Nothobranchius furzeri: one gene and its partners. The protein of the gene in region 2 binds, or shares a complex with, the protein of the main gene of each other region. Links are inferred from orthologs where the notes say so. Each region holds a gene or a part of one and is shown on either strand. Other genes may lie near its edges.

Region 1 (9,522 bases), on a different chromosome or scaffold from region 2:
GCATTTTTAACAGCGTCCTCGTCTTTTCCGACAGTGCGAGCCATTTCTCTCCAAGAATTATTAACAACATGTTGATCACGGTGATCTCTGAGAGCTGAATCATACAAATGTCTGTATTTATGAACCTCTGCCATACTAGTTCTTGCCGGTCCGCCATGTTTTTCCGCATCCGTCCGTCCGCGTGGTTAGAAATTTTCCGAGGTGCACGTTGCGGAAATTCTGGGCCGTGCGGAGGCACGGTGGAGGGGCGTGGTTGTTAAAATGACGCAAAATGACGCAACTTTTCCGCGCGGAGTCGTGCGGACCTCGCGGACGCGTCAAGCATAAACCAACCTTGAGAAAAACAAACTGGAACGTTGGAAGGATGTTCACCACATCACAGATGTGACATGTTAATGTAGATTTTTCAAAGATTATTTCAGGATTAAGATGCATTTATTAGCTTTTCTTTTTGAGACTGAAATCCTGAGTGAGGGGGAAGGGGAGCATAAAGAGACCAACTAGGGATGCACCGATACCGATACTGGTATCGGTGCAGATACCGATACGATACTGGTATCGGTATCGGTAAAAGTAAACCGATACAAATGCAGTTGCTTGAAAATGGCTTCACTGTAACTTGTCATTTCTGTTCACCTGATAATTTAGTTTTGTGATGATTTCTATTCATGTATTTTACTTTTTATCTACCTCACAGTCTTTTCCCGTTGAAAGCAGAGAAGAAAATAAAATCTGTATTCCAAATCATAACTTTTTTTTTGTGTGGTAGAAGTATAGGTATCGGTAATCGTATCGGCAAATATTCAGATCCAAGTATCGGTATTGTATCGGTTTGGAAAAAAGTGGTATCGTTGCATCCCTAGGACCAACATGGCTGCAGTACCTCGCGTTGGGAGTCAAGCTGCGGAGCACGTGTGTGAGGGAGGACAGAGCGAGAGCACCCGTCTGCTGCACCAAGAGTGAGTTTTCATACGACGTCTCCTCTGCATAGTGCTGGAACGTCACACACTCCCACCACAACCAGTTAAACTGGCTCTGCTTGAACTGGTCCCACACTGGAAACACATTAGGAACACTTAGGTGCAAGAACAGACCAATCCCTGTGACGAGCTGATGGAGATGGGCGCCAGCTTCTCCGTGATCCCGACAGCGGTACTAATTCCCGTGACCACCCACCCAGTGGAGCATTGATGTGGTCTATGGAAGCCACCAAGTGCAGGTTTGGTAAGGACGCCAGCTGCCCCAGTGCGCTCTGGGTCTTCTCTCCTCGCAGCATTTGCCCGTCAATGTTATGGATCAGTAAAAACACACGGAGACCTGGGTCTGCAGAGACGTCAGAAAAGTAAAACTCACAAATCCAACAAACGTGAAGGCTGAGACAACTAGTCTCGCTCACTCAGCGACTTACTGCCTTTGAGGGTCTGAGCGATGAACTGGATCTGGTCCGACGGCGTGCGGAAACTTCCTTCGTGCTCCAGAACCTCACATGTCAGGGAGTTTAATATCTGCAGCGCGATCACATGACAGCTGTGGTTTGTTCTGTTTTCTGTAGACAGTCGCAATAAAAACGCACATTTTCACTGGTCTACGAACCGCTTTAAGAGTAATGGAGGGGAAGAACCCGTTGACCACCAGGTGGATCTCTTGAGACAGATGAGCCACCCTGAAGTCTTCGAGCAAAGCCTTTTTGCTGCCCAAACCATAAACCAGAACACTGAATCCCAACCTGCAAACCAACAACAAGCACCTCTTGGGAGAAGTAGGGGTTGCATGACTTAATTTTTTTTAAAGTCGACAGTCAAGTAATGAAAATCGAGTCGACTTCGACTAGTCGTTGATGACGTCATTCACCTGAAGCGGCGGCGGGGGGGGGGGGGGGGGGGGGGGGGGGTCGGTAGGTTCGCTGGAGTTTTTGACAATTAAAATTGCACCCAAATTGAAAGAAAGAATTTTCTAAGTTAAACATCTCTTTTAACAACGGTAGTTTCTGCATCAGCCCTCTCCCCCCTCCCCCTGCGCAGCGGCCACAAACTCACTGATGCGCCTGCAGCCTCTCAGAGTTCCTGCTGCTCTAAACATTAAAATAATTAGTTCATTTTCTGTTCCTCACTTCTGATTACCTTCAATGGTGTCTGTTTGTTGCAACCACCAGGTACAAAAACTAACTTGTTTTTATTTGCCTATTTTTCTGTCCTGCCTGTTTATTATCTTCCTGCATCTCCTCTCAGTCCTAAAGAAAAACTGCTACCTGGGTTCATATATATTCACCTTATGAGTTACCTTTGAACTGCAGTTCTAAAAGATCTACCGACCGCAAAAACAGCGGAGTGCCGCTGCTCGCCGGCCGACTACAACGGGACCGTTTTTGCTGCGGAGTTCGTGCCGGAGCGGAGATAGTGGAATCTTGGGGGTGCGTCACCGGAGGACAAAACAGGTGAAGAGCCTCGCTCCGCAGCAGCGAAACGCATCAGGCACAAATAACAGACAGAAAACATGAAAGGAAATGAGCCGACATGAACGATCGCGTGTTTAGTTAGTTTTTGAGGTGGTGACACCTGATTTGGCGGTGCTCTGGACGCAGATGTCTGGAGCGCGTCAACGATCAGAGCTTTGCATGCGCAAACTGGTTAAGATTAGGATGGGGGTGAGGGGAAGGTTAAATTGCAAGAGGGTAAAGGTCACAGTTTGGTTAAATGTCCGTTTTACCGCCGGTGTCAGTACCGACGCTCTGGCACAGCGCGTCGCCTCCGCCTCCCGACGCAGGGGCTCATCACCTGCTGGAGGACTGCATCTTGTCAGTCATTATCACGTGACAGCGACTAGTCGATGACAGGCATAAAAAGTCACTACAGAGCCGTGAAGTCGACTAGTTCATACAACCCCTAGGGAGACGTTTTAGTAGAACAGAGTCAAACCGTAGGAAAGGGCACGCCGCCACACTCACTGCAGCTGTAACATCCATTTGTTAAAGTGCTTCCTGTGTTTGTCGTGCAGCTGCTGGATCTCTTTTGAGTAGCAAGACGGTTTATCTTCTAAAAGACGATCCAACGTCTCCTGTCCAAAAAGTAAAAGAGGTGGAGTTTAGCCAAAGGTTTATTATAATGGACTAACATGTAACTTTTAATTCACACACCCGGTCAAACTTAGGGGTGTGCAAACGCTGGAGGGTCCGGTCCGACGTCAGGACCTTTGAGCTGCCATGAGCCTCAAAATACTCCTCGGTCATGGTGGGCTGATTCAGAGGCTCGGCTGTGTTCTTGCTCCTCTTGGCAGGAGTCTTGTAGAGAGCTGCAGAAAGCCCTTTACTAGGGGTTCTCGTCTTTTTCACATTCTCCTTGTCCTCTTGCTTCCCTCTCTGCTCTTCTTTGAGCTCGTCCTCCTCAGAGTCAGAGGGGGAGAGTTCACTGTCGCTGTCAGACCGAAGAGTTGGTGCTGAAAATAAGCCCCACCACACCCAGATTACACCAGCGTTACTAAACGAACACAACTACAACAGGCCAGGCGTACCTGTAAGTCTCTTCCTGAGTCTGTGAGGGGTGGTGGAGACAAACCGGACACTCTTTTTCTGTTTCAGGAGAAACAAAACTAAATTAAAACAAACTAAATCCTTCACTGGATAAAGTGAAATGTATTAGCTCTCTCACCCTCTGTGGTGTCCTGTTTTCACCTGCGTGGCCTAGACAGACAAAAGTAAACCTGATCATTTCATAATGAGAGCACAGGCGGACGGGGAGTGGGTTCGCTCGACTCACTGCTGCCTGTCCGAGAGGGAGTGGTGGGTTCCGAGTTTGTGTCCCTGGTGAAGCTCACGCTTTTTCCCGGGGTCCGAGCCAGTTCGCTCGCTACGAAGGGAAACAACAAAACAACGGTTTAATAAATGCAGCTGAAGATGAACGTTGAGCCTTCGTTCGAGAGGTAATCGGAGATTCACCAGTTTGGGCCAAGCTGTGACTTCGTTTGACTTTCTGGAAGGTGAAGATGGAGGAACCAGCAACTCTAGAAGGATTATCGTCTACTTCTGTGAAGCCAAAGAACATATTAGTGGCATTAAGAGACATTTAGGTTCATGTTATGGCTTTATTAGGTAATGTCAAAATACTAAACTCGATGATCTACAGTGGCACCGAGAAGACAGGAGGCAGGGCAGGTGAAAATGTTGAGATTGTCTTCAGGAGTGACAGGATCAGGATTAGAGGGACTGCGTTAGATGATTTGAAATAAGATCAGGCTAAGATGGTTTGGACATGGAGGAATCTGCAGAAGGATGCTCAGGCTGGAACAGCCAGGCAGGAGTCGTGGAGGAAAGCCAAAGAGCAGATTTATGGATGGAAGAGTGGAGGATGAGGGTGAAAATGCAGCAGGACAAAACCAGAACCAAGGAAGGGATACCTTCATCGTTTTCAGTTCCTAAAGCTCGGACATAACCCAGCTCATCATGGACTCCGTTTTCATCTCCATCACACCGAGTCTCCTCCAGGCATTCCCTCTGTCCAGCCGGGCTCTTAAACTTCACCATCCTCAGCCCAGAGCCAGCACTGCTCTGCAATACTAGTCACAACACACACACACACACACACGCGCGCGCGCGCGCGCACACACACACACGCACACATAAAACGAGAGCGAATGGGCAAAAAACAAAACAGCAGAGATAAACCAGCTCATACCCTCCTGTTTGTCCACGATGTGCTCCAAAACATCCCCATCCCCAACGAACTTCACCTCCAACACGCTCATTTCTACCAATAAACACAAAACACACGATACAAGCCTGAAGCCACGCAGCAAAACACACAATTAGCCCTGCTACTAGAGTCGGTTTGAACTCTCGCGCTAAAGCTGAGGAAAGTGAGCGCAAAAGGTCGAGACTTACTCAAACGGGCGGAAAAAGTCCGCAAAACAATATAAAATTTAAAACATAAACAAAACTTTAAAGTCGGAAAGTTTAATTGAGAAGCGATGTGACAAGTTTCCGCGCCATTCTGAACATTTTAAATCACGTGACTGAGTGGAAAGGTCATAAAGTGGCCAATCAAAACGCTAGTAGCAGTAAAACTACGTTTCCCAAGAATCCTTTCAACAAGTCCGCCTGTCACAAGTCCACAGACAAATAATATTCAAGTCAGGTATTCTTACTCTAATTCACAGCAGTAGAAAAAACTTTGTACAGGTAAGATCAAATGTAATGGACACAATATGACACGCTTAAGCACAGAAAAGAAGAAGTAGTGAAAATAATGAAAATAGAACTGTGAAAATAAAGTTTAACGTTGTAAAGAAAAGAAAGAAAGAGAACGATCTTTTCTCTCAAGTTAAAAATCACGAGGCGCTTCACAAAACCAAAAAATTCAAGTATAAAAAGATTTAAAAAATGATTACAAATATGTTTAAAAATAATATATGAATTATAAAAATAATAAATTAGGATTAAACCAAATCCTAAATACAAGGATTGACTGGATACTGATTAAAATACTTTAATGATTCAGGTTGATATCTGATCTGACATTAGTTAATGTCCATATTTCAAGTTACATTCAGTTTGTGGTCATTTTCAATAAGAATCACATTTCTTGGTAATCTGTAAAGGGCATTTTATTGCCATGTTTATTTTTTTCATTCAGTTTCAATTTCAAGTAGTCTTGAGAATCAGTGTGTGTCACGTTTGATGCTGTGATTATTGTTTATTTAGTATTCATTCAACTCCACAATCCGGTTAAAGATTCACTAAAGAAAGGGGATTTAGATGTCTTGCTATTAGTTAAGTCTTTTCGTTCTAGCGGCCTCAAATATTATTCTGAAATCTGTCTACGTGTGTGTGTGTGTTAGTGAGCACTTTCCCTCTACCAAGATGATCCATCCCACCGCATGTAGAAAAAGTTTCAGAGGTTTCAGTTCAGCTCATGAAAAATGGGAGCAAAAACAAAAGTGTTGCGTCTATATTTATACTGACAAATTTGTTCGTGAGAATCCAGATTTAGAAAACTATTTAACACTTTGGATTCACTTTTGCTCATTGAAACAGTTTATTTTTTCACCTTTCACTACAAAAATTTAGTTGATACAGTTTTACACAAGACAATATCTGCACTTTTTTGACAAGAACATCTTCAATTCTGTATGAATACAATCCACCATGTATAAAATCTCCTTTATGTGGATCTAAATTCCTCCTTTAATCTTCTGGATGTTATTCATTTTTATGTCTTCCTCGGAGATCTCATGGGGCGAGGCAGGGAAATACACTCGCTCATAAGTTTGGGTTTGTTCTGGTTGATAATTCCTATTATATTGATTTAAAATAAAAACTGAAATGACTGAGCTTTAATAAAAAACTACGTTATCACTGAAACAACATCAGCATTAAATAACAGTAGGGTTTAGGGTCAGGGCGACACAGCAGCTCAACATTTTTATGTCTCTTCGATTGTCCCTAAATAGGAGAGGAGACTGCTGATCAAATTCTGATAGTTGGTGTCAAGCCTTTATTTTCCATTATTTCTAAGTCACTGGTTTGAACTAGGGATGCACCGATGGATTGGCATTTGATCCCAATCGGCCGATAGCGCCCCTATCGGTTTTGATCGGAGTTTTCAAAATAGATCAAAGCAGACCGATCAGACCATTTTAGATTAGGTTACATTTCCTTTATTCCCAGATTATGTGGTTTGTAGCACTCATTGTAATGTTGTATAAAATTTCTGGCCAATCCACATGATCGGTATCGGTGATCAGCATTCTTTGATATCGGTATCGGCAGCAAAAAACCCCCATCACCTTTGAGATAATACAAGAGGGTCAAGGGGACAAAATCAAACGTGAGAAATGTTCCATTAAAATATAACCTTTGTATGTGTTTAAGGCTAGAATTCTACCATTTAAATGGCGACAGAAAGAATGATCATGATATTAATTAAACAATCAGTAAACAACTCGTCTCACTGAAATGTATTTATCTACACAATGGACAAAAACAAATTTTTTAAATTTGCTTTGATTTACAGAGATAACATTACGTAAAAACAAAGATGGCCAATTTTACAACACATCGATTTAGAAAATGGTTAAAGTCTCATAAAAACAGGCTCTGATATGTTTTTTTTTCCAGACACCAGTCTAATCAACCACAAATATGCTGTTTTAGGTGGACAAGTATCTTCATCTAACAACATCCAGGTCAAAACTTGGGCTTCACCACCCACGGGTGGGGTTCCACGTCCCCAGCAGACGACCCTTGGAGTGTACATGATACACGGGATGCATCATGGCTGTCGCACAGGACTGAAATAAAATAAAAATAAACTTTAAAACACAATAGCAACACAATGAATCCGACACCACATGAAGGAATGTCCAGTATGAGAACCTTCAGAGGAACTCCCGTCACTGACGGCTTCTTGGATAACAGAATATAATCTTCTAACCGAGCCTCTTTTAATCCTACAGACAGGTTGCTAAAGGTCACATTAAACAATACTAACGTGGTGGGGGATCAACGAGAGCAAAGTACCAAGAGGGTATTTGCTGTAGTCCAGATGACCCGAGATGGGCTCCAGTCTTCCATGTTCCTGAGTCATTGATGACAACCTGGAGGGATACATAACCAAGTGCAACATAAACAACATGTAAGAATGAAGTAAAAATGACATCTTGTGGTCAAATATGGTGACTGCAGCTCACTTTGCTAAACAAAAAGTTACTGTCTCACTGTTGTTCTGTGAGTTTTATGGCTCTTGCCAGTTACAGATCAGCACCAGAAGATTCTAGATGATAAGCAAAGTTGATAAGTAGATAAATACATAATTATATCTGGTAGGGCTGGGCGATATGGTCTAAAATCAATATCACGATATATTGAGGATTTCACCTCGATAACGATAAGTGGACGATAACTACAGGTATTAGCAGAAATGAAAATTGTCCACTAGATGGGGCTGTCGCGTGTATTACGTTGAATCACATTTTTACGTGACTCAAGGTGGTACAGCTTCTTAAAGGGACATGAATGTTGCCCATCTACACACATCTTTTCATTTTTTATTATCACATTTATTGACACGGGAACAATTTATCCCGATAAGAGTCAGAAATGTCGATAACGATAAATTTTCAATTTATTGCCCAGCCCTAACATCTGGTGTTCGCACACTTGGATATTTTACGGTAGAGAGCATTTACTACACTTATTACGGTAATGCATCAGGCATTACAGGAAGTGTGTTTGTTTGCCGTCTTGCTGTTAGCTTGCTCTAATAGTTCTGAACGACTCATTAAAGGAAGTAAAATGCTGCGATTGACTCATTATTCATGTCACACACACATTTCACTTTAATACTGAGATGTTGCTAATTGAGAAAGTAGCTTAAGATATTTTTAGAGCCGAGTACTTGCTCCTAATTCACCATTATAACTGTTAGCTCAGCGTTAGCCTCTAGCCTGATTCACTCAAGTAAAACAAAAAGATGTTGTGGCTTCTTAGGGTTACAAGAAATAACTTCTGGGTCACTCCTGTTTACTGGCACTGGTTCTTTAAACAACTCTGGAGCTTGCCAGTGTCGAATTAGAAATGCTGGCGGCGCTGCACCGTTAGCTCGCCACAGACTGTAGCTGATGTCCGAAACGATGTCCCTCCTTTGTTTTTTGAAAATAGACAAACTGACAACACCCAACCAGCTGAGAATGAAATCTGTTTTCATTTAACCTCCCTTCCAACATGACTGAGACATTAGTCTGTGATTATTTCACTGTAGAATTCTTACAAATTGCTCCTTTAAATTCTGTTTTCAAGTAAAAAAAAAGAAATAGAAAAAGCGTTTTACTTCAGGTCTGGATGCCCTTCAATGATGGCATATCCAGTGGGAAGTTTTCCAGCTCCATCCAAACTGAAGGAAAAAGAAAACAAAGAAGTCGGTCGAGTTCATCTAAAACCAGTCCAGCCATGTGTCCTTCTGTAAATCCTACCTAATAGCACTCCACCCACAGTCGATCAGGAGCTGGTCCTTCTGTGGACAGTGTCCAATGACTCTTGTCAGAACCCTCACAGCCACATCCTCCAGACTACACGAGCCAATCATGGACTGCTGCACATCTACATTTCAACAAAACATAAAACAAATTTTGTTTTTTCAGTTTGTTCATTTGAAATAGTTAAAATGAAACAGTCACATTGAGATGAACACACCATAGAAGATGTAGTTTCCAGGATGCACCTCACTTAGTTTTGACATGTCTTGGACCGGATGGCTACAAGAAGGAGTGGAGCCAATGCTGGACTTACAGGTGATGCCGACCGCCTTCAGTCTGACAGAATTAAGAAAAGACACAAACAACACACATACTGAAATATGAATGCATTTGTTGTTTGAATTAATTTACCATTTTTTTAATCTATCTTTTGTGCGTTTCCATCTTAATTTAAACCCTCACTTCTCCATGAATTGCAGGACACAGCTGGTTGTGTCTTGGGCAACGGCCTGTATTTGCTCCACTCCTGTGCAGCTGTAGGTGTTTCCACAGTGAGCG
Region 2 (9,544 bases):
AAAACGGCTGTTTTTAGATCCAGTGTGTTGCTACCAGACGTGCGGTGTGAGCAGTCAGGTCGCCTCCGAGAACCGGGTCGTACGGTGTGAAAACATGACTCATAATATTTGCGCTGCGAGGAAGTCGCAGAGTTTGAGCAGGATGTCCCGAAGGTCCGCCCACCTGTTCACCGCTCGGACGTCCTGATCTTCTACCTTCCTAGATCATCCAGCTGTGACCTGTTTCTGATCATTTTAGTCCCGCTGTAACACTGATGCATCAGTCTCAAGGTGTTACCAGAACTACCTGTGTGTGTGTTTACCACCCAGCTTCAGCTCTTCTGTGTTTGGGTCTGACCCAAGTTAGTAAATTTAATCAGATTTGTGTCTCTTCTAGTGTCATTTTAAAGGATTTTTATTTATTTATTTAACCATTACTAGATCAGCAACAGAAATGCTACTAAAACACACAGTTATGTGAAGCTGGACAAATTAGAATGCTGTGCAAAATTACATTTATTTCAGTAATTTAACTAGACTGAGAGACCATTTAAAGGCTCAGGAACCTTTACATGTGTTTCTATTTGCAATAGTAAATTTTAGTTGATTCGGGTCTTGTTAAATATCACACAGTGACATTTTAAAAGTCTAGATAAGTGTAATGTTCCCGTTAGTAGTTCCTCCTGTTAAGTGTTCATTTATTTCAATGATTCAGTTTTTTGAAAAAAAAACTTGGACATATGTTTTACTGTGTTCCAGTCATTTATATTTCACTATTATAATTTATAGTCAATTAAGTTTAATTAAGAAGGGACCCCATTTTTCTTGCTTTAATAATAAAAAAGGAACAAAATATTTTTCTTGGTAATTAGTTACATTTATAATCTTGTAACTCTGTAACTGACTTACTTTTTTGACAAAGTAATCCGTAACTATAATTACTTTTTAATAGCAACGCTCCCAGCACTGGTGTTTGATCAAAATGTCCAGAGTGTCAGTTAAACTGAGGTTACTGTTGTTTTGCAGGAATAAATCACAAACTTGCTGAAACCATCAGATGGAGCATGTTCTGTAACACATTTTAGTTCACCAGACATGCTTTTAAATTCCCCAACCTCTCCTTTTTAACGTGTTGCATCTGAGTGACGGCAGCGTTAACCGATTCCTTTCTGAAATTCCAGAACAATACGACACCTTTGTGAAATTTACACACGATCAGTTAATGCGACGATTCGGAGAGCAGCCGGCGAGCTGTGAGTTCCTCTTTTTTTCTTTCCACATTCCTGCTCCACTGGCCTGGATTCAGCTAACGGGTCTGGTTTGTGTATTTCATCTCTCTTCTCCAGATGTTTCCTGAGTGTGGCACCGACGCTTTGCAGGAAGCGAGCTCGTCATGATGCTTCTTAAGAGTTCCTCGTTGGGAGAGATTTGATTTTAGCTAGTTTAAATGAAACTTTTTACCGTGCCATACGTCTGTTGGGCAAAACAAGGTTTGAATGAAGCTGTTGTTGGCAGTGTGTTGTAAGCAGCCGTGTCCTTCCTGATGTAAATGAGCGGCCCCCGTCTCCACCAGTGGCCTCTGTCCCTCCAGCTATCTTACTTTTGTAATGACTCCCAGCATTCCAGACTTGTTGCATGTAAATATGAGGAAATCTCTAACATTTTATAGGATTTGCTGGTCAATCTGAAAGGGAGTGCAAGAACTTTAGTGATTTTCTTTTTTTTAATAGGCATAAAGTGAGGGCTAATTTTTTTTTAATTAGATTTCCACCCCTTACTGATATCTCTTAAGAAAATCAGGGACATTTGATTTTTATTTACAGAAAAACTGTGCGTTTGAGTCCAACTTAGCACAAAAACCACAGATTTATGTTTTTTTTCCCCCCTTGAAGATTAGATCAACAGCCTCCCCACGTGAGTCGAGCCACATGGTCGGTCTTCTGCTTCGTGGACTTGATGAAGCCCAGAAACTCCAGCTCAGCCACGGCGCGGATGAAACGAGCGCTGAAAGGAAAAGTTGAGGAAAAACAAATTTTAAATCTTTTTGTCTGATTTCCATGAAATCAGTCTGATCACATCTGCTGTCAAGGACTGTTACATTTTCTAGGGGCAAAAAGTAAAATGACATAATTGCTTCGTGTGCGTGTGTGTGTGTAACCCTTCAACATGTGAAACAAGTGAATTCCCTGAAGTGTCACTATGTTTCCCTTCTTGTTTGAATAAAAACTTCAGCTGCTCAACTGTTAGTTTTGTTTTTCTAACTGAAAATTTTCAGATTTAGTAGAGAAACTGAAATCAGAAAGGATGCTGTTTGACTTCGTCCACTTTCCCGAAGCCGTCGGAGTCTGGATCGGTCCCCTCGGCAGCAGAAATCACGGTGGAATACGCCTGAAAACAAAAACAGTCGAACAAAACCTCTCCGACAGAAAATCGGCTCATCTCTGGAGCTAAACGCTCGTCTCACTCACCTCCAGCCAATCGTAGAGGTTGATCAGTCGGCCGCACTCCAGGTGGAGCTTGTATGCGATGCAGATATCCGGAGCAGAGTTGGACACTGTGCCGTCGTCGGACTTTAAGCTCTCATTCTGAAAATAAAGCCACCGTCAACATCTGACCGTCGTCCACAGGAGCAATCTGTTGTTTTATGAAGACGAACCTGAAGGTAGTGGTAGGGGCTGCTGAGTGCAGCCTGAATGGAGGTGCGAGGTGCAGCATTGAGGTGGCGTCTGACAGCAGCTGAAGAACTGTAGTAGCAGACTTCATACAGCGGCTGAGACTCTGGGGGGGATAGGTGACTCCTGATTGGCACAAATACACATTAAATTAGCTATTCTGTTACTTTAATCAACTCTTGTGGATCTAAGTTTTATTTTTCATTTCTTACTTCACTAAAGTGTCGATAAAGTCCAGAGCTTCGTTACGTAGAGCCTCAAACGGACTCTTTTTCCTGGATCTGCGAGACTCCAGCAGCGTCTGCAAGTAGATCAAATGTCCAAACGGCTTTAAAAAAGTATTTCGTCAAAGAACAGAAAAAAATGTCTGATGGACGTACCTTCTGCAGCTGGAATAGATCTGTTTTCTTTGGAAGGTTTTTTACTGGAGAGGTGAAGTTTTCCTCTGAAGCGGTACTCTGATCAGTAGCAGGTGCTGTGTGAACAACAAAAGATTATGATCATAAATTAAAAAAAAACTTAAAAATCCTGCTTTGAACTACCATCCAGCTGCTGGAATTTGGACAGTAGTTCCTCCAGTTGGACGCAAGCACTCTTCATCTGAGTTGACCTGATGGGCTGCAGGATTTCTGCACATTTCTGCAGCAAAGAGATCAGCTCGTCTTTCGCCAGCATCCTGAAGAAAAAAGTACAAAAATACTGACCACCAGGGGGAGGAACACCTCTAAAAATCCCACAACTTTGTCGCCACCTAGTGGCAAATCTAACTGGCTGCAACTGAATGGAGAGATGGCATTGCGTTTACATCAAAATAGCTAAATAGAAATGCCTCAAAAAATAAAAAAATTACAAGTTTTATGTTGAGCTCAGCTTACTTTAAAAGATTCACAGCTGACTGGTACTCCTCCGCCTCCCACACGTTCTTCTCCAGGCAAATCAAGTGCAGCTCCCTGATCTGCAGCAGTAAGAAAAAGGAGACTCCAAAAATCAAAGAACGAAGTGAGACCAAAGCAAAAAGATGGTTTAAATGAAAGTTTAAAACTGTTTTCTTGCCTGTTTTCCGAGAGGGTATCGAGGCAACGATGAGGTCAGAGTGTGGAGACACCTCAAAATGGGATAATAGCACTTGTGGTATTTGTGAAGATCCTTCATCAGTTTTTGACAAACGTTCTAAAATCACAAAAAGGATAAAATCCTGTGCACAAAAAAAAAGTCGTCTAAAAACTGAAATCTTTAACAAACCTTTAAATGAGAGTCATCCGTCCTGAGCTTTTCCTGCTCTTCTATTTCTTGCTTTTCCACAAACCTAAAAACGAATTTTAACACAAAGAGCTTTTTTTTTTTTCATTCAGTTATAGAAAATGATCATCTCAGCTGGTTTTGTTCACCTCCTGAACGACGGGAGCTGCCTGACCCTCTCCAGGTCATCATGGCGAAGGTGTTTCAGGTTCAGCAGAGCCTTCTCCTTCCTACAGCACAGCACGCTGAGGGGCTGCGAGTAAAAGTGCTCCAGCAGGGCCAGCTGCACCCAGGACGGGAAGATAGTCGGGAGAAAATCAGTCCCTTACATTTACATACCTTACTCGTTTAGACCCCGATCCTCACCTGCAGGCCCTTAATGAAGTTTTTGACTGAGAAGTCGTGGTAGAGGAAGATGCCCACCAGCACCTGCATCACTTTCCCGTTGAGTTTGAAGGGAAAAGAATGTGTCAGGATCAACTGGAAAGAAGGGATGGACTTTTATCAGATTCAAAATCTTCGATCAGCATGCACAGATGTCACGGTGAAGGCACCTTTTCTATGACGGTGGTGAGATGCTGAGAGCAGGACAGGGACTGGAAGAGCTCTATGCACAGCAGCGAGGACACAGAGTGAGGCAGCATGTGCTGGATGGTGCTGGGCGCCGTGGCGATCCCGAAGATAAACATCAGGGGAAGACGCTGAACGTAACGGCTGTGGATCAATCATCAGACGCAGTTTTAACCTTCCAACGTAAACCGTGAGAGCTTCTCACGTGTCTGCTCTAAAGTCACCTGCAGACAAGGATGAAGTCCTGAAGAACTCTCGGATTAAAAGCTTCCAAATCTTTGAAGACGATCACCACCGGAGGCTCCTGCTGCTCGTTAACGACCAAAGAACTGCGCTTTTTTCCGGGAGTTCCACTGCTGGATTTCTTAAACCCAAGAAAACGTTTGTTTTCACCTCGCCGAATTAAAAACCTGCATGAGCGGACCTGCGTCGTGTCCTCACCTTTGTTTTCTTACTATACCAATCGCAGAGAGTCGTCAAGGAGCAGTGAACACTCCTGTGGTGCTGCTCCGTTTCCTCCTCCACCTCATCATCATCATCATCACCTACAGCTACAACCGTGTCCATCAATCTCTCCAGAACCTTCTTCATCAAATGCTTAAGAGCTGAAATAATAAAACCAAAAAGTCTACTCCTGAATATTGTGACATTTACAGTAAAATCCTGACGCGTTTGTATATTTTGAAGCTTTTCCCATCACCTCCACACTCTTTGGCTTGCACAGACGCCACATGGGGGGTGACAGACGTCTGGAGCAGCTCAGACAGACTCTGGAAGGTCATGTCATGATCTGTGACGTTCACGCCTGCAGTGAGAGATGAAAGTCAAATGCAGCTTGCGGGATTTTTGTAATAATGCAAGTTAGCAGCTTGAAAAAACAAAACAATAACTACTGGGTACCAAGGATGAGAGCGGCTGTGGGAATTTCACTTGCTCTCATCTGTGAGGTCCAGTCACTGTGATGGCGGATGGAGGAGCATTTTTTGGTGAACTCCAACAAACTGTCCAGAACTTTTCTGTTGAGCTCATCCTGTAAAATCTTATTTAAAAAAAAAAGATTATGCTGATCTGCACATTCTCTGTATTTTTTTGATATTATAATTTGTTCTTACTTCTGTCTCAGTTTTGATTTGGTCCCACAGATCCTGGCAGAGCTCGAATCTCAACTCACTGCTCCGTGCATCTTCACAGCCATCAGTGAAATAGCTCTCTGTGTAAAAATACAGACACGTTTATATCGCAACAAACAGATCCAACTAACAACTCTTCTCTGTCTAATGTAACATAGCTCACCCAAATCAAGGGTCTTTTTCTTCTTTTTAGCGCTGGGCTTGAAAACAAAGCAGCCCTAAAGGGACACAGCAAAACACAGTCGAGTCTGACGCAAATATCGCGAGGTCTCCATTTTTGTTAATAGAAACGTCGTTGAACGACAACAAGCTATAAGAAGTTACCTTTGAAACAGAAGAGGTGGCCATCTTTCTTCAAACTCTTTGTAGTAGTTTCTTTTTTAAAAAAACGCTACTTTTCATGAAACGTAGCCGCGACTTCCCGCCAGAGTGACGTTTACGGAAAAGGTTGGAAGTGTTAGAATGTATGGCAAGCCGCTATAGCATATAATTAGATGTAGCCGCTATAGCATATAATTAGATGCCGCCATAGAATATAATAGACAACAAAATGTAACCGTGATCACACACATATATTTTATTTTGTGTGTTTATATTTAAATATCACAAAGCTGTCTAAAAATTGAATGACTCAAATATTAAACACATTTTCTGTGTATTATAAAATGCATGTAATCCACAATGTGTATTAGTCTTGTTTACCACATCTTTTAGTTTTAGATTAAAAGTAATTTGGCTTTATTTGAATTTAAATAAAAATAAAAATGGAGCTTGTTATAAATTCAGAACAGCTTCATAAACTACTTATGAATAAAGTAAACATATTGACAATACATTATGAATGTGATTCTGCAGATTATAATAAAGTATAATTTAAATCTTTTAAACTGGCTCTAGCTTCGTCCAATTTGTGAATGCTGCATTTTATCCCTTTCCCAGAATCTTAATCCTTCCGTGTACAGCACTTTGATCATGCCGTTTTTAAATGTGCTATAAATTAAAATGGTTTATGAGATCATCTTTGAAAGTTTATTTAATTCAAGAAGTTACAATTTCATGAATAACTGGGTTTAAGCAGCTGTGTTGTTGTATTTGTAGATCAAATTGATGACATTTTTAAAAAGACAAGATTTCACTCGTGCTTTTATAAAAAAGAACCAGTAACATTTTATTGAACACTTTGTGGAAGACATGTAAATATTACAGATAGGTCTACTAGTGTTGAAAAGGGATGAAATAAATACAAACAGGACTCGAAATCCCATAGGGATATTTATAAAAACATAGTTTTCTTTAAAAGGTGTCCATTTAGTAAAAGAAAAAAAACATATTCAGTACTAAGCATAAATACAAACATGGTTCTAAAATCTATGCCCTATAGCTTACCTGGTTATTATAACTAACATACATAGTTAAAATCATCAGAGACATATTTTTTCAATTAGGTACAAAATAGGCCATTTCATTGTTAACTGTGACCATGACTGTTAACAGTTGGAAATCTGATGCATTAAGAAACAAATCATTCTGCAGCATAACGTCTCAAATCCTGAGTAAGACAGGGTAGGAAACAAAAAGACAACAACAAAATGAGCTATGATTCACTAAAAATCCTCTTTTTTATAATAACCGTGGGTCTCATATGTTGTAGCTGCTTAAGTAAAAGTTCAGCACCATCTGAAAATGTTTTATCCATAACAATTTTTACATTACTCACAGAATTTAGCTTTACAGGGTTTCTGAAGTCTATAAGATTCTCACAACCTCTAATGTCGTTCGTCATTTGACTTTTACTTCCAGATTTCAGTTTGGGAGTCTGTTGTCTTTTGTGCGGCACCTCAGAATTGGGTTTCTCATTTATTTTACGTTTAGAAGAAACTGTTGTCTCTGAGGTTTCCAAGAACTTGAGGAAGGAGTCCTCGAGTCCTAAAGGCTTGAAACATCCCGGTGAAGCCCCATCTTCTCGTTGCTCTTGGGTCGAAGGGGTACCGGGATTTGAGTTCTCTCCGGAACTGTTAACAGTCAAGCGGTTTCTAAGGGTCTGCATCCTTTCTGGACATGCTGGTGTAGGCTGTGAAGGTTTTCTAGGACGCCCCCTTTTAGGTCCGACTCCTGTGCCATTGGAAGCTTGAGATTCTGCGCTATCATCGTTGGACAGCTTGGCGTCCTCCTTCTCTTCGACTTTCTCTTCGACTTTTTCTTGTTCCACCACCAAAGTCTCCTCCGTTTTCCCCTCAATAGGCTTCACGCTTTCCTCAAGCTCCGTCTCTTCAGAAGAAGAACTTTCTGCTCCTTCTAATTTGTTTGCATCTTTGAATCTGGAGCGTGAATACTTTTTGCAGAAAATGAACTGACTTCTCTGATCTTCTATGTATCTTTCTGTGAGGCCATGAGTTGTGTAATGCTTGAATATGTTTCTTTCAGCCCGCTCTACTGCGTCGCAGCCGATGATCATGCACGGATACTGCAGGGGGGACTTCTTGGTGCACATGGCTGATGCCTCTTCGTGGGTTTTTAGTGTAGGCTTGCCAAAACTAGTCCAGTGTTCAATGGATTTCCCGTCTTTCTTTTTAGTGTTTTTCTTTTTCATTTTGAATTTATTGTCTACATTCTCCTTCCCGTTATTAATCCCTGGAAAGAGCCCGATTGATTTAGTTCGTCTTCCGTCGCTCGCTTTGGGATCATAAATATAATCATGCTTTTTGATCAGGTGGCGAAGGAGGTTTGATTTTGTAGTGTACACACGGTCACATCCATCATACTGGCACCGGAAGGTTGGATCAACTGATCCTCTGTCAGACACAGCAATCTCTTTGTGGAAATTCTTAATGTGCTCAATGTACTTCTCCACGGAGTTGAAAGGGAGAGCACATTCTGGGCGGTCACAGTTAAACGTTCCTAGGGTCATACTGGCCATCATGGCAGTGGCTTTGTCGCAGGTGAACTTGTGAAGTAAGAGGTAATGCTGCACTAACCTTGTGATACCCATGAACACCCTGGAACAATTTCTTACCTGACACCTGACCTCGTCATCTTTTCCTATGCACTCAATGCTCTCCTGTCTATCAACAACAGCGACCTTTTCTGTCTCGGATTCGATTTTGCTTGAGGGCAGCGATGCCTGATGCATGGCTCTATAATGGAGAATCAAGTTTTGCTGGATGGTGAAAGCTGCAGTGCATCCTTCATGAACACAGCGATAAGGTCTATACGGGCTGTAGGCATTGTCTGTGTCGCACATTTTTAAACTCAGCCTTTTTTGATTTTTTTCTTTTCTCTCCTCCTTTGTTGGTGTGCTTTTAGAGCTGCTTGGTTTCTCTGGGGAGGATGATGCAGAAGCTGTAGAAGACGAAGCAGACATTGCGGAGGGCTTTGGTTCTTTTACTTTAATCTGTGACATATCAGAATTTTCTTGCTGCACCTTTATTTTGGCTAAAGGACTCAATTTTTCTTTCACACTGACTTTCACTTTCACCTCTGGGCTCCTGTCTGTGACAGATACCTTAGGTTGCTCTGGAGGCCTTTCAAGGGCAGGAGGTGCCACGTCTTCATGCATCCTTTCAGCCAGATAGTTTTGTGGAGACGGTAGACGTGTAACAGTTGACATCTCTGGTGTCGAGATCCGTTTTACAGCCTCTCCTGAAGGGATGTCAGGGAGATTTGGGTTGCTTTCAATAACCGGCTGAGGTGCAATTGCAATGTCAAGTGGTTCCTGTTTTAAAATAGGGATCACAGATGCAGACTTTTTGGTGCAACTGGTGCTGGGTTCAGTGCTTGGGCGATTATTTTTAACAGAACCATCTTTAAGTCTGAATGCACGCCGACTTCGAGCATTGATTCTTAACTTCTGCATTTCTGACTTTGACAGACGGTGAACTTTTTCATAATGAATTCTCAACCCCGTTGTTCTTGTGAACGTTTTTGAGCAAATCTGACATGGATATGGAGCCAGTT
Region 3 (9,510 bases), on a different chromosome or scaffold from region 2:
CCAAAGGCAAGGTGATAAAATAGGTTTGCAGCGCAGACTTAAAACGGCCTAGTGAAGGGGCCTGTCGTATTTGGAGGGGGAGGGCATTCCAGAGTTTGGGGGCAGCGAAAGAGAATGCTCGCTCTCCACGAGATTTGTAGTGCATCTTCGGGATGCACAGTAGTAGCTGATCTGCTGATCTAAGGGATCTAGAAGGAGCATACAGTTTTATTAGTTCAGCGAGGTAAGTGGGAGTTGGGCCTTTCAATGCATGTACATGTTTGTTGTAGACAAATACAGAGGAATCGTAGAACATTACCAAATGAACCCTCGTTCACTGGATTGTTCTAATATTACTGTTGAATCACTTCAGTAAGGGCTGGTCGATATGGCCTAAAATCAATATCACGATAAATTGAGGATTTCACCTCCATAACGATAAATGGACGATAACTACAGGTATGCGCAGAAACAAAAGTTGCCCACTAGATGAGGTTGTCACATGAATTACGTTGAGTCACATTTTTACGTTGCTCAAGGTGGTACAGCTTCTTAAAAAAATGAATGTTGCCAACCTACACACATCTTTTCATTTTTTTATTATCAAATTTATTGACATGGAAAAAAAAATTGCGATAAGTCTGAAATTTCGTTAACGATAAATTTTCGATTTATTGCCCAGCCCTAACTTCAGTCACGGTCGTAATCTGACTCAGTTGGAGCTACTTTTTGTGCGTGATGATCTCAGAGACGATGACAAGTTTAAATAACCAGAAGTCCACTTCCCCGTGTCAACTCCACAAAAGAGCAATGGTTGTGTCTACTCCATGTTACAAACACACTTATTATTGTGTGTTTTCAATTATTGGCTAAAAGAAAAGTGAACATTGAAACACAAGAAGTATTTTACTGATGCAGACATGATGCAGACGTTGCTGTTTTGACTGAACCTCGGGTCAGAACAAAACATGGTGGAGATGCATTTAGTTACTATGCTGCTCACATATGGAATTGGCTTCCCCTTGACCTCAGATCTGCCCCAACCCTAGTGTTGTTTAAATCGCCTTTAAATGAATTGTTTCTTATCATGCGTCAAATCCGCTGTAATCTGCGTTGTAACTTTGTCTTCTCCTTCAGCTCTAAACTGTAATTCCATCTGTGTGTATTCTAATTTGTGTTTTTATGTGTTTTCATATCATGTCCTGATAATTGCAAAGCACAGTGAATTGCCTCCGTGTTTGAAATGTGCTCTATGAATAAAGCTGCCTTGCCTTGATTGAAGGAGGCAAGTTGTATTCAAGCTAATTGTATCAAAGCGTGTTAACAAATGATAATAATGTGGCCCATTGAGACTTGTATTTGAGTACCTCTGGAGTAACATTTTTATTGGACCCTTTTGGATGTAAAAACACTATTTTGTTTCAGATGGCTCTGTTCTGTCAATGATGAGGCTTCAAGTGGTGAGTTAAACATTTTGGAGGAATTTCAGTGTGGTTTGACAAAAGCCTGTACGTTGTCTACAATTACTGTTGTATCCTTGACTGGCATATATCATTGGAATCACAAGAATCCTAGCTTTCTAATTATGTATAATATGTAAATGTATATAGAAAGTGTGTTGAAAGACGATGCTAATTTGACCAGTAATTATGTTTATCCCATGTGTGAGACTAATTGGCACCTGGCAGCAAAAAAAAGATGCATAAAGTGAGTTTTGCATTATATGTCCCCTTTAATTCTTACATCATTCTCCACATACCCATGATTCTACGTCTTAATTATCACTTCAAAATCCCATGTGGCAGCACTGCAACAGGATCACAGCTTGTACAGAAAAAAAACATCACTTGAGTCTATTTAAAATGCAGCAAGTGGTTGCCATCTTTCCTTCCTAACAGCATTATGAAAGAGCTCTCTACAAACAGCAGCTCAAGGACATTTCCTCACTAATAAAACTCTTCATCATCGGCGCAGTTTATCAACAACAAAGCGTTTTGGGTGATAAACACCACAAAGAGCGAGCTGTGTTTTCTCACCAGTTCCTGAAGACGAAGGAGGGCAGGAAGAAGATTGGCATCGGCGTCTCTTAGAAGTTCAGGCTTCTCCATAATCTGAAACATATCCACGTGTTTACTTTCGGTTTACAACATTTACACTCACTAAATAAAAGGTGTTTAAATGAAAAACACTTTCAGTCCAAATTCTACATCAAATTAACACTGTTTCTGGCACAGAAACGTCAGGTCAATACATCTGGAGCTTTGTTTACCACTTGCATTACAACAGATGGCATCATAAATAACACAGATGTGTCACTCACGATGTATCGCGTCTGCTCAGCAGGAAACTGGGAGGATTGTTGCCTGTAGATCCGCACAAAGTCAGACAAGGAGGGACTACGAGGGAGCAGCGAGGCAGCATCGCAGCCAAAGAAGGACAGTAGCACTTGTTCAAACAGCAACGCAACAGACACACATTCGACGCAGCTGACCGTGGCGTGAGGAAGCTGAGGAGGAGAAGGAGCAATGGTGAAGGTCAAAAAGTCATAAGATGGGTGAACATAAAAACTCCACTCTGTGTTAATTTTTAATCCGATTTAAAAAGTAATAAATTTCCCCACTGTGTGATTAATAAAGTCTATTTTATTCTAACATTTGATGAAAGAAATACAAATTAAATAAATAAAAAGTATGCTGGGGCCTTTATATAAAAACCTTGAATGAATGTATTTGTGATTCGGGTCTTTTCTGGACAAAAGAAGGCCCTGATGTACACTTTTTGTAGCCACCACTTTTATGTGAACGTTTGTAGAAGAAACACAAACTACTTTGAGTTCTTTATAATAAAACCCATATAAAAACCACTGGCAAGAAAGTAGCCATCCATAAACTACAAATTTTAATATTCTACACGATTTAAAAGGCTTTGTTTGCTTCTAGATATTTTGTTATTGTAATAGTACTCTGCAGTGGTCTGTTTAAAGGTTTACACAAGCTGAAAGAGTAAGGATCCAACTCTGAAATAAAACAAGCCCACATGTTCATCACTTGTCCTTCAACCATCTTTTTTTTCCAGAAAGGCGACTTATTGTGCTCAAACTCTGGATTTTATAATCAGCCCACATTTCATGAAGTAAAGCTAATAGACTTGTTAAATGTAAAATAAACTATTTCAAGCGGTTATTTCTTGTCATTCTCATGATGATGTAATACAGATCATGTCAAAGTGATGAATGGCCTGCATTTGTTTATTAGCGCCTTTCTGAGTTAGAGGACTCCAAAGTGCTTCAACCTACAGTCATTCACACACTGATGAGCTACACTGTAACCACAGCTAAACTGGGGCATTTTGACGGAGGCGAGGCTCCCTTACACAGGTGCCACAGGTCCCTCCAACCACTGACAGTCTGACACAATGGCCAACTCAACACAGCCTGGGATTGAACCAGTAAACCACCAGTTACAGAGTGAACTCCTAACCCCTAAGCCACCTTCACCCCTTCATAATGTTCTTATTTTATGGAGCATGAATTTGGGGTTTTTCTTATCTGTAACCTTTAATATTCCTAATTACAAGGAATAAACTATTTTAGTCTGTGTAATAAATAAATGGGTATCAATTTCTGAAATGAGGGACAAGCATAGAAATTTGCCATTTAATGAATTTTTTTTTGGAAAGGCACCCATAGACAATAAGTATCTCTCACCTCCAACTCTTCCATCAAAATATTTGTCACGTGACTTTTTCCTGAGGACCGATGGCCATAGATGAAGACTGAAGGGTAGCAGTACTGCTGTGGCTGGAAGAGCATAAAAATAGCATTTTTGTATCAATATTTTTTTGCATTTTAATGTATAAATTTCCCAAGGATTAAAATGTCATCATCTACTCACAACATTAGAAGCTTGTAACAATAGCTTTGTCACAAAAAAAAAAAAAAAAAAATAAGCTACTGCTGGCTCTTGATTATCCCACAGCTTCATATTTTTTAGATATTTTTTTAGATTCTCGTATAACTTTAGAATTACACCAAAATATATTTTGCTGCAGTTGCCCAAACATAATTTACATTAGGGAATTATGTCATCTTGATGCAGCTTTTATTTAGGTTTAGATGTCTGTAAACATATGAAGGTTTCTGGGTACCATTGTATTTTCTCAAGCAAACTTATATTATAAAAATGTGTAAATATGTACTGCAAAGAAAAATCATGCAATAAATTGAAAAAGCTCTACTGAGGACAGCCCGTTGTGCTCAAACAGCCAAATGACACCATCAAGATTATACAACTTGCATTGCACTAACACAAAAAGATTTGATGAGCATCTTCGGCAAGCTGTAATGTGCCTGCGAAACAAAGGTTTACAGACGTGAAACTCCAGTTTACCTGACAGAGAAAACACAATCAAACGCTGACAGTGAGAATGGAGACCAAGCCAACGATTCTTTTAAACCACCATTATAGTTCCTACCTGTCCCATGAGAGACAGCAGCATCCCAGCCTGGACTTCTCTACAAGGCAGCAGCTCTGAGACTCTTTTTAGCCTTTCTTCGTCGTATCCTGGTTGCTGTAACAGCCCCGTCATCCTTACCGTCCAACTCCCAAATATGCCCGCACGGTTTAATCGTCACGAGGCTTAGAATAATCTGTCTAAAACCGTGACAGTTAGCATAAAACTCGGCTTTTTGTAACTGAAAGTCCACCGACACGAGGCGGAAAAGACGAACACAGGCGGTAATTTGGGAGGAAAAAGTGCCAAAAAGAGAATTAACGTCGGGAAAGTACCGATAGAACAAGTTGGGGGTAAACTAACACCCTGAAAGAAACCAAGTAAGCAACTTTAAATGATGAGAAAATGCATTTTCTCTTAAGAGAACTGGATAAAACGTTAGCTGCATTTTCTCGCGCGCCTTCGAATTGCGTAGAAACGTGATCCTCTGTTACCCAATGAAAATAGAGCTCAGAACTCTGGGAAATGTAGTTTAAAGGTTAAACACAATTTAAATAGCATATTTTGGATTTGATGTGGTGATTTTAGGTTAGTATTTTAGTAATATAGGGATTTATCTACAATATGATCCAGAAATAATAGCATTGACTTAATCTACTACTTTTGTAACGAACATTTTAATACGTCACTGTTTTATATTGGTTGAAATAACAAACTCTGTCTAGTTCTTAAATTTAAATATTTGATTGTTTGTCAGTCTAGATAGCAAAAAAATCAGTTCATTTGGTAAAATTACTAATTTGCATGAATTAAGATTTGATGATTAAAAATGAAAACATTCCGAAAAATCATAATGATCACTGATCGCTTTGTGTTTTTATCTTTGTTCGTTTTAGTAGTAAAAATAAGTAATTTTTAGTCATGCAAAATCTCTAATTCATTGCCACTGAAGTCATGTTACCATATTTTCTGTACATTTTTCATTTTAAATCTTTGTGTTTGAAATTTCGCGCGAGCAACGTCAGAATGGGATTAAGGGATGTGGGTTGGCCCTGTACTATACACGGACATCTGCGGTTGTGCTCCTCAGACGGATCCGTGCAGGGAGATCTCACACATCCCCTGATAAGAAGCGGACTGCATTCCACTACATATGCGCGCAAATGGAGAATGAATCTGCAAATGGATTACCGGCGCTCGTATTTTCCCAGAGCCACGTTTCGATTCTGCAGGCTGATGAATGAAAATCGGAGCTCCAGAACAGAAATCAGGACCCGGCCTTGCCTCTATACAGTGCAGCTGATGCTGTGGACACGAGTGTAAGGAAAGAAAACACAACCGAACCAGAGGAAGTTCTGCTGATTACCAGATGAGGCAGGTGCCACTTTGATCCGCATCCTCCCCACACAGACCAGAGGAAATGGTCCCCGGGGCTCCCAGCGCGACCACCACCATGCTCCCTGCCTCCGAGGCTGCCAAAATCTACCAAACCAACTACGTCCGGAACTCCAGGGCCATCGGCGTCCTGTGGGCCATCTTCACCATCCTTTTCGCCATCGTTAACGTGGTGTGCTTCATCCAGCCCTACTGGATCGGAGACGGTGCGGACACCCCGCAGGTGGGCTACTTCGGTCTGTTCCACTACTGCATCGGAAATGGACTGTCCCGGGACTTGACCTGTCAGGGCAGCTTCGCCGAGTTCAGCAGCATCCCCTCCGGTGCGTTCAAGGCTGCCTCGGTCTTCATCGGCATGTCCATGTCTCTAGTCCTTACGTGCATCGGCTGCTTCGCGCTTTTCTTCTTCTGCAGCACCGGTACGGTGTACAAGATCTGCGGCTGGATGCAGCTGGCTGCAGGTAGGAAACTCGGACGGCAGGTATGGGGAGCTCCAGCACTCAGCTTGTCCAGATCTGCAACTGTTCTCATATCTCAATCAGATGTTTGTTGTGGGAAAAAGCTGAAAACTAAGAGAGCTTACCTCAAATTTTCATCTCAAAAACAAAATGTGTGGCTTTTTAGCTTCCAAAAACATAAGGCCAAAGAAAGAAATCATCTGCTTTGAATTTCTGAATCTGTAGAGGCTTTAAAAGCGCACTAATCTACTGAGCTGCAAATTTTAGTTTCAGGAGCACTCTGCACAACTTTATGAAAATATTCTGGAATTTGTAAAATTAAATAAAAAAGAAAGGACGCATTTTCTCTTTGCTTGTGCACATTCAAAATGTGTTAAGCTCCCATCATAAAAATATTTATTATATTAAAACAAATCATGCAGAGGATCATGATCAGAAATTAAACAAAACCTGGTAAACTACTAAAATCTTGTAATGGATGACTGACCACAGCTTTGCCTTTTCAGTGGTTTAAATGCCTTGAACCTACTTTGTGGGGTCGCGGGGGGACAGAGAGCCGGTCCATCGCAGGGCAACACCGAGACACACAGGACAAACAATCATGCACACACACACTTAAAGACAATTTAGACAGACCAATTTTGGACTGTGGGAGGAAGCCACGCATGGAGAACATGCAAACTCCATGCAGAAAGATCTCAGGCTGGGAAGCAAACCCAGGACCTTCTTGCTGCAAGGCAACAGCTCTAACCACTGCACCGCCATACTAAATGCCTTGAAACTTAAATAGTAAAAATGCATTTTTTTTATTTTGCACATCAAATAGACATTAATGATTTCCTGCACCATTCTCGTCAAAATATTCTAAATAAAAATCATTAAAAGGCAACATGTAGAGGAGGCAGAACAGCTTTGCATTAGGTTATCTTAAAGTATGCAGCTTTCACAAAAATGATATATTTAACACCTGATTCAGAAATACCAGTTCAGTTCTGCAGAAGCCTATTCATCGCCCACTGATTAAAATCAGGACTGTTGAAGCAGAGAAACCTCTAAAATTTGCTGGTGGTGGCCCTGTAGGACCAGGAGTCACTGTTATGAAAATATTTCTGTCAGGATGTATTTTAATATTTCAGACTCATTATCTACAACTGAATAAATGAGAGTGAACAAAAAATAATCACAGCTCAGAGACATCAAAGTCCTAGCCACAGAACAGACCAAATCATCAACCCACCACCACCGTGCTGTATAGCTGGTATAAGCTGTTCTAATGCGATAGATTTGGTTTAATATCTTTGTTACATTTGCACTGAGTTGGTTATCCAATTTCATTTTCTTTAGTTCTTCTCTGTACACAAGGTGATACAGTGAATTTTCGATGTTCTCTGCTGCCTTTGTCGGAGAAACCGGGATGCTGATGGCATCACTTCCTTTTATCCCTGGGCAGCAGAGGATGATATCGCCCTCTGCTGCCCGTGCCTTCTCTGCTGATCTGATTACTGTGTCCAATGAGTGGTCCAAGGTGTAAACTCCTCCGTCCCTGTTCATAGTCCTGCGTCCACGTCTCTTTATCTCTATTGCTTCTTTGATCCATCTTCAGAATTTCTGTTCCTCTGTGTTTATGATCTGCGTGTTATCCCAGTCCATTATATGATTTTCTCTTGTACAGTGGTCTGGTTTGTTATGATTAAACATCACAGACAAACATCCAAAGGAGGTAATTTCTGGTTCATCTTTGTAAACTTGAGCTGGGTTGTTGTGGTTTTTAGAGAGGAGAGACTTTATGGGGCTTTATTTAAAAAAACACAGATTTTTGTTTTTTTTACTTTAAGCTAGAGCTTGAACATTGAGCTCAGTGATTGTTGAGTTTGAAACTTGACCAGCTTCATATTTGACACCGCTCTGCAGCCTGGCCAGATACCACACTTAACAGTTTTGTGGAGCAGGAAGGTGTCCTTGGGGGTGATCTTTATTTTCTTTACAGCTGTTAGCTGTTACGCTAGCAGTTAGCTTTTTCACTTTGATAATTATCAAAAAAAAAGCACAAGAAGAAAAAGAAGTTTGCTTTTTTGTTGGCATCATGGCGGAGCCTGGAAGTAAAAGTAAGATAATAATGTCTTTGGAGGTGAAGCAAATCGCTAAAATCAGAGTGAACATTGGCGCGGCCAACACTAGTCTGAGAGAGCTAAAGGAGGCTACAAAATCACAAACTGATGTTGACCTGGCTTTGTTGCTAATGGACTTGTAAGTAATAATATTTTTTGTCCAACAGTCTGTATCTTTGTACTTCATGGTTTATTTTAGTATTAGTTGGCTCATGTTAGTGTTAGCATGTTAGCGGAAGCTATAGCAGGGTTGTTTACAACAGTTGTAATTCCACTTTCAACCAGTAGGGTGATGGAGCAGGAAACTGCTCTGTGTCGCTTTAAAGGGATACTTTGCAACTTTTTCATATTTTAAAATAGTTTTCTTGAGCCAGAATGTGCTAAAAAACCCTTTACCGGGTTAAAGAAGCCACCCAGCCCCATCACCCCCCGTGGCCAGAATATTTCACTTGCAACTTCAGACTGGCGGGCCGCTCTGTTGGGACTTAGAAAAATATGAGCTGACATACCTGGCGCTGCAGTCTGATACTAGCATATTTCCTGCATGTTTTAGATCATAAACACAGCTGATTATTTTAATTTAGTGATGAATCACTCATGTAGACACTAATGAAGGCTGGAGAGACATTTCAGCTGTTAGATTAGCGTGTTAAAAAGACAAACGCACAGCGAGAATGATTTTGCTTTCAGTTCTACAAACGGGCACTAGGGGGTACTAAAAAAAGCCAACATTTTTTATGTCTGTGACTTGTGCAGCCTAAGTTCAGAGTAAAGCTTCTTCAATAGAAAGATTGGTAACAACTCTGATTTTTAAAAAAAATCAGGAATCAGCCTCTTAATCCTTCTTAGATGGATGTTCAACAGTTGCGTTGCTAAAAATAATCAGTTTTAAAACTATTAAATCTATTTTTTTACTGTTTTAATCCATCTTGAGGCAATCCCTCTTTGTATCTGACCCGTCCCTGAGGACCAGTGGACTACTGTATCTTGCACAGGGACACCTCGACAGCTGGGGTCTGGGACCCAGAGCTGATGATTGCTATATGGCACTGCTGGGATTGAACCTCTCTCCCCATTCATCCTTATTCAAACCTCTTGTTTGACACACAATCAAGTAA

Evidence for each region.
Region 1: the proteins of orc3 (region 2) and orc2 are in contact, whole or in part, in a cryo-EM structure (PDB 7JPO), measured with the Homo sapiens proteins. The link is inferred for Nothobranchius furzeri from reciprocal best matches to the Homo sapiens genes ORC3 and ORC2. Residues at the interface, in NP_036513.2 of Homo sapiens: Thr3, Ser4, Ser5, Met6, Ser7, Lys8, Gly9, Cys10, Phe11, Val12, Phe13, Lys14, Pro15, Arg20, Ile22, Ile26, Tyr29, Phe30, Lys32, Tyr47, Val111, Thr112, Lys139, Asp318, Lys326, Gln329, Leu330, Leu333, Tyr337, Glu589; in NP_006181.1 of Homo sapiens: Leu239, Glu242, Tyr243, Ala246, His247, Asp268, Arg273, Leu276, Val279, Ser280, Phe283, Glu286, Leu287, Leu290, Lys296, Leu297, His299, Lys300, Met302, Leu303, Gln304, His306, Leu307, Phe309, Tyr314, Gly315, Leu316, Arg320, Glu324, Arg327.
Region 3: the proteins of orc3 (region 2) and orc5 are in contact, whole or in part, in a cryo-EM structure (PDB 7JPO), measured with the Homo sapiens proteins. The link is inferred for Nothobranchius furzeri from reciprocal best matches to the Homo sapiens genes ORC3 and ORC5. Residues at the interface, in NP_036513.2 of Homo sapiens: Glu99, Val109, Met144, Lys145, Leu148, His178, Ser180, Met181, Asp182, Glu223, Asp232, Ile235, Ile236, Gln239, His240, Ala253, Thr254, Ser255, Pro256, Ile257, Ile258, Ile259, Arg261, His265, Ser269, Cys272, Ile273, Glu274, Leu275, Ser280; in NP_002544.1 of Homo sapiens: Asn62, Val64, Glu65, Phe67, Thr68, Arg70, Leu71, Gln75, Tyr129, Leu270, Arg271, Ser274, Ser275, Ser276, Gln277, Leu294, His297, Thr298, His299, Val300, Glu301, Leu302, Pro303, Tyr304, Tyr305, Ser306, Asp360, Tyr367, Arg373, Pro376.

What each region holds. Positions count from the first base shown.
Region 1 is NC_091751.1:63,944,726-63,954,247, reverse strand, and holds the start of orc2 (origin recognition complex subunit 2), read right to left. Parts: upstream 5,011-9,522; 5' UTR 4,874-5,010; exon of another isoform or gene 4,740-4,873; 5' UTR 4,738-4,739; coding exon 4,668-4,737; intron 4,549-4,667; coding exon 4,390-4,548; intron 4,019-4,389; coding exon 3,932-4,018; intron 3,843-3,931; coding exon 3,753-3,842; intron 3,677-3,752; coding exon 3,645-3,676; intron 3,566-3,644; coding exon 3,508-3,565; intron 3,433-3,507; coding exon 3,134-3,432; intron 3,055-3,133; coding exon 2,945-3,054; intron 1,727-2,944; coding exon 1,594-1,726; intron 1,506-1,593; coding exon 1,409-1,505; intron 1,324-1,408; coding exon 1,177-1,323; intron 1,056-1,176; coding exon 884-1,055; intron 1-883. Other genes in the region: zgc:162816 (D-serine dehydratase), read right to left, coding at 7,192-7,281, 7,482-7,587, 8,820-8,882, 8,962-9,088, 9,182-9,300, 9,427-9,522. UniProt on the Homo sapiens protein: Component of the origin recognition complex (ORC) that binds origins of replication. DNA-binding is ATP-dependent. The specific DNA sequences that define origins of replication have not been identified yet.
Region 2 is NC_091758.1:29,123,383-29,132,926, forward strand, and holds orc3 (origin recognition complex subunit 3), read right to left. Parts: upstream 6,035-9,544; 5' UTR 5,939-6,034; coding exon 5,915-5,938; intron 5,809-5,914; coding exon 5,754-5,808; intron 5,671-5,753; coding exon 5,573-5,670; intron 5,500-5,572; coding exon 5,361-5,499; intron 5,266-5,360; coding exon 5,161-5,265; intron 5,066-5,160; coding exon 4,902-5,065; intron 4,825-4,901; coding exon 4,685-4,824; intron 4,605-4,684; coding exon 4,445-4,604; intron 4,371-4,444; coding exon 4,257-4,370; intron 4,174-4,256; coding exon 4,040-4,173; intron 3,958-4,039; coding exon 3,894-3,957; intron 3,822-3,893; coding exon 3,705-3,821; intron 3,607-3,704; coding exon 3,527-3,606; intron 3,328-3,526; coding exon 3,194-3,327; intron 3,127-3,193; coding exon 3,032-3,126; intron 2,953-3,031; coding exon 2,864-2,952; intron 2,778-2,863; coding exon 2,636-2,777; intron 2,565-2,635; coding exon 2,448-2,564; intron 2,368-2,447; coding exon 2,288-2,367; intron 1,984-2,287; and 3 more. Other genes in the region: akirin-2, read left to right, coding at 1,161-1,232, 1,326-1,336; znf292a (zinc finger protein 292a), read right to left, coding at 7,185-9,544. UniProt on the Homo sapiens protein: Component of the origin recognition complex (ORC) that binds origins of replication. DNA-binding is ATP-dependent. The specific DNA sequences that define origins of replication have not been identified yet.
Region 3 is NC_091741.1:42,932,590-42,942,099, reverse strand, and holds the start of orc5 (origin recognition complex subunit 5), read right to left. Parts: upstream 4,704-9,510; 5' UTR 4,567-4,703; coding exon 4,453-4,566; intron 3,779-4,452; coding exon 3,686-3,778; intron 2,486-3,685; coding exon 2,300-2,485; intron 2,091-2,299; coding exon 2,016-2,090; intron 1-2,015. Other genes in the region: lhfpl3 (LHFPL tetraspan subfamily member 3 protein), read left to right, coding at 5,852-6,287. UniProt on the Homo sapiens protein: Component of the origin recognition complex (ORC) that binds origins of replication. DNA-binding is ATP-dependent. The specific DNA sequences that define origins of replication have not been identified yet.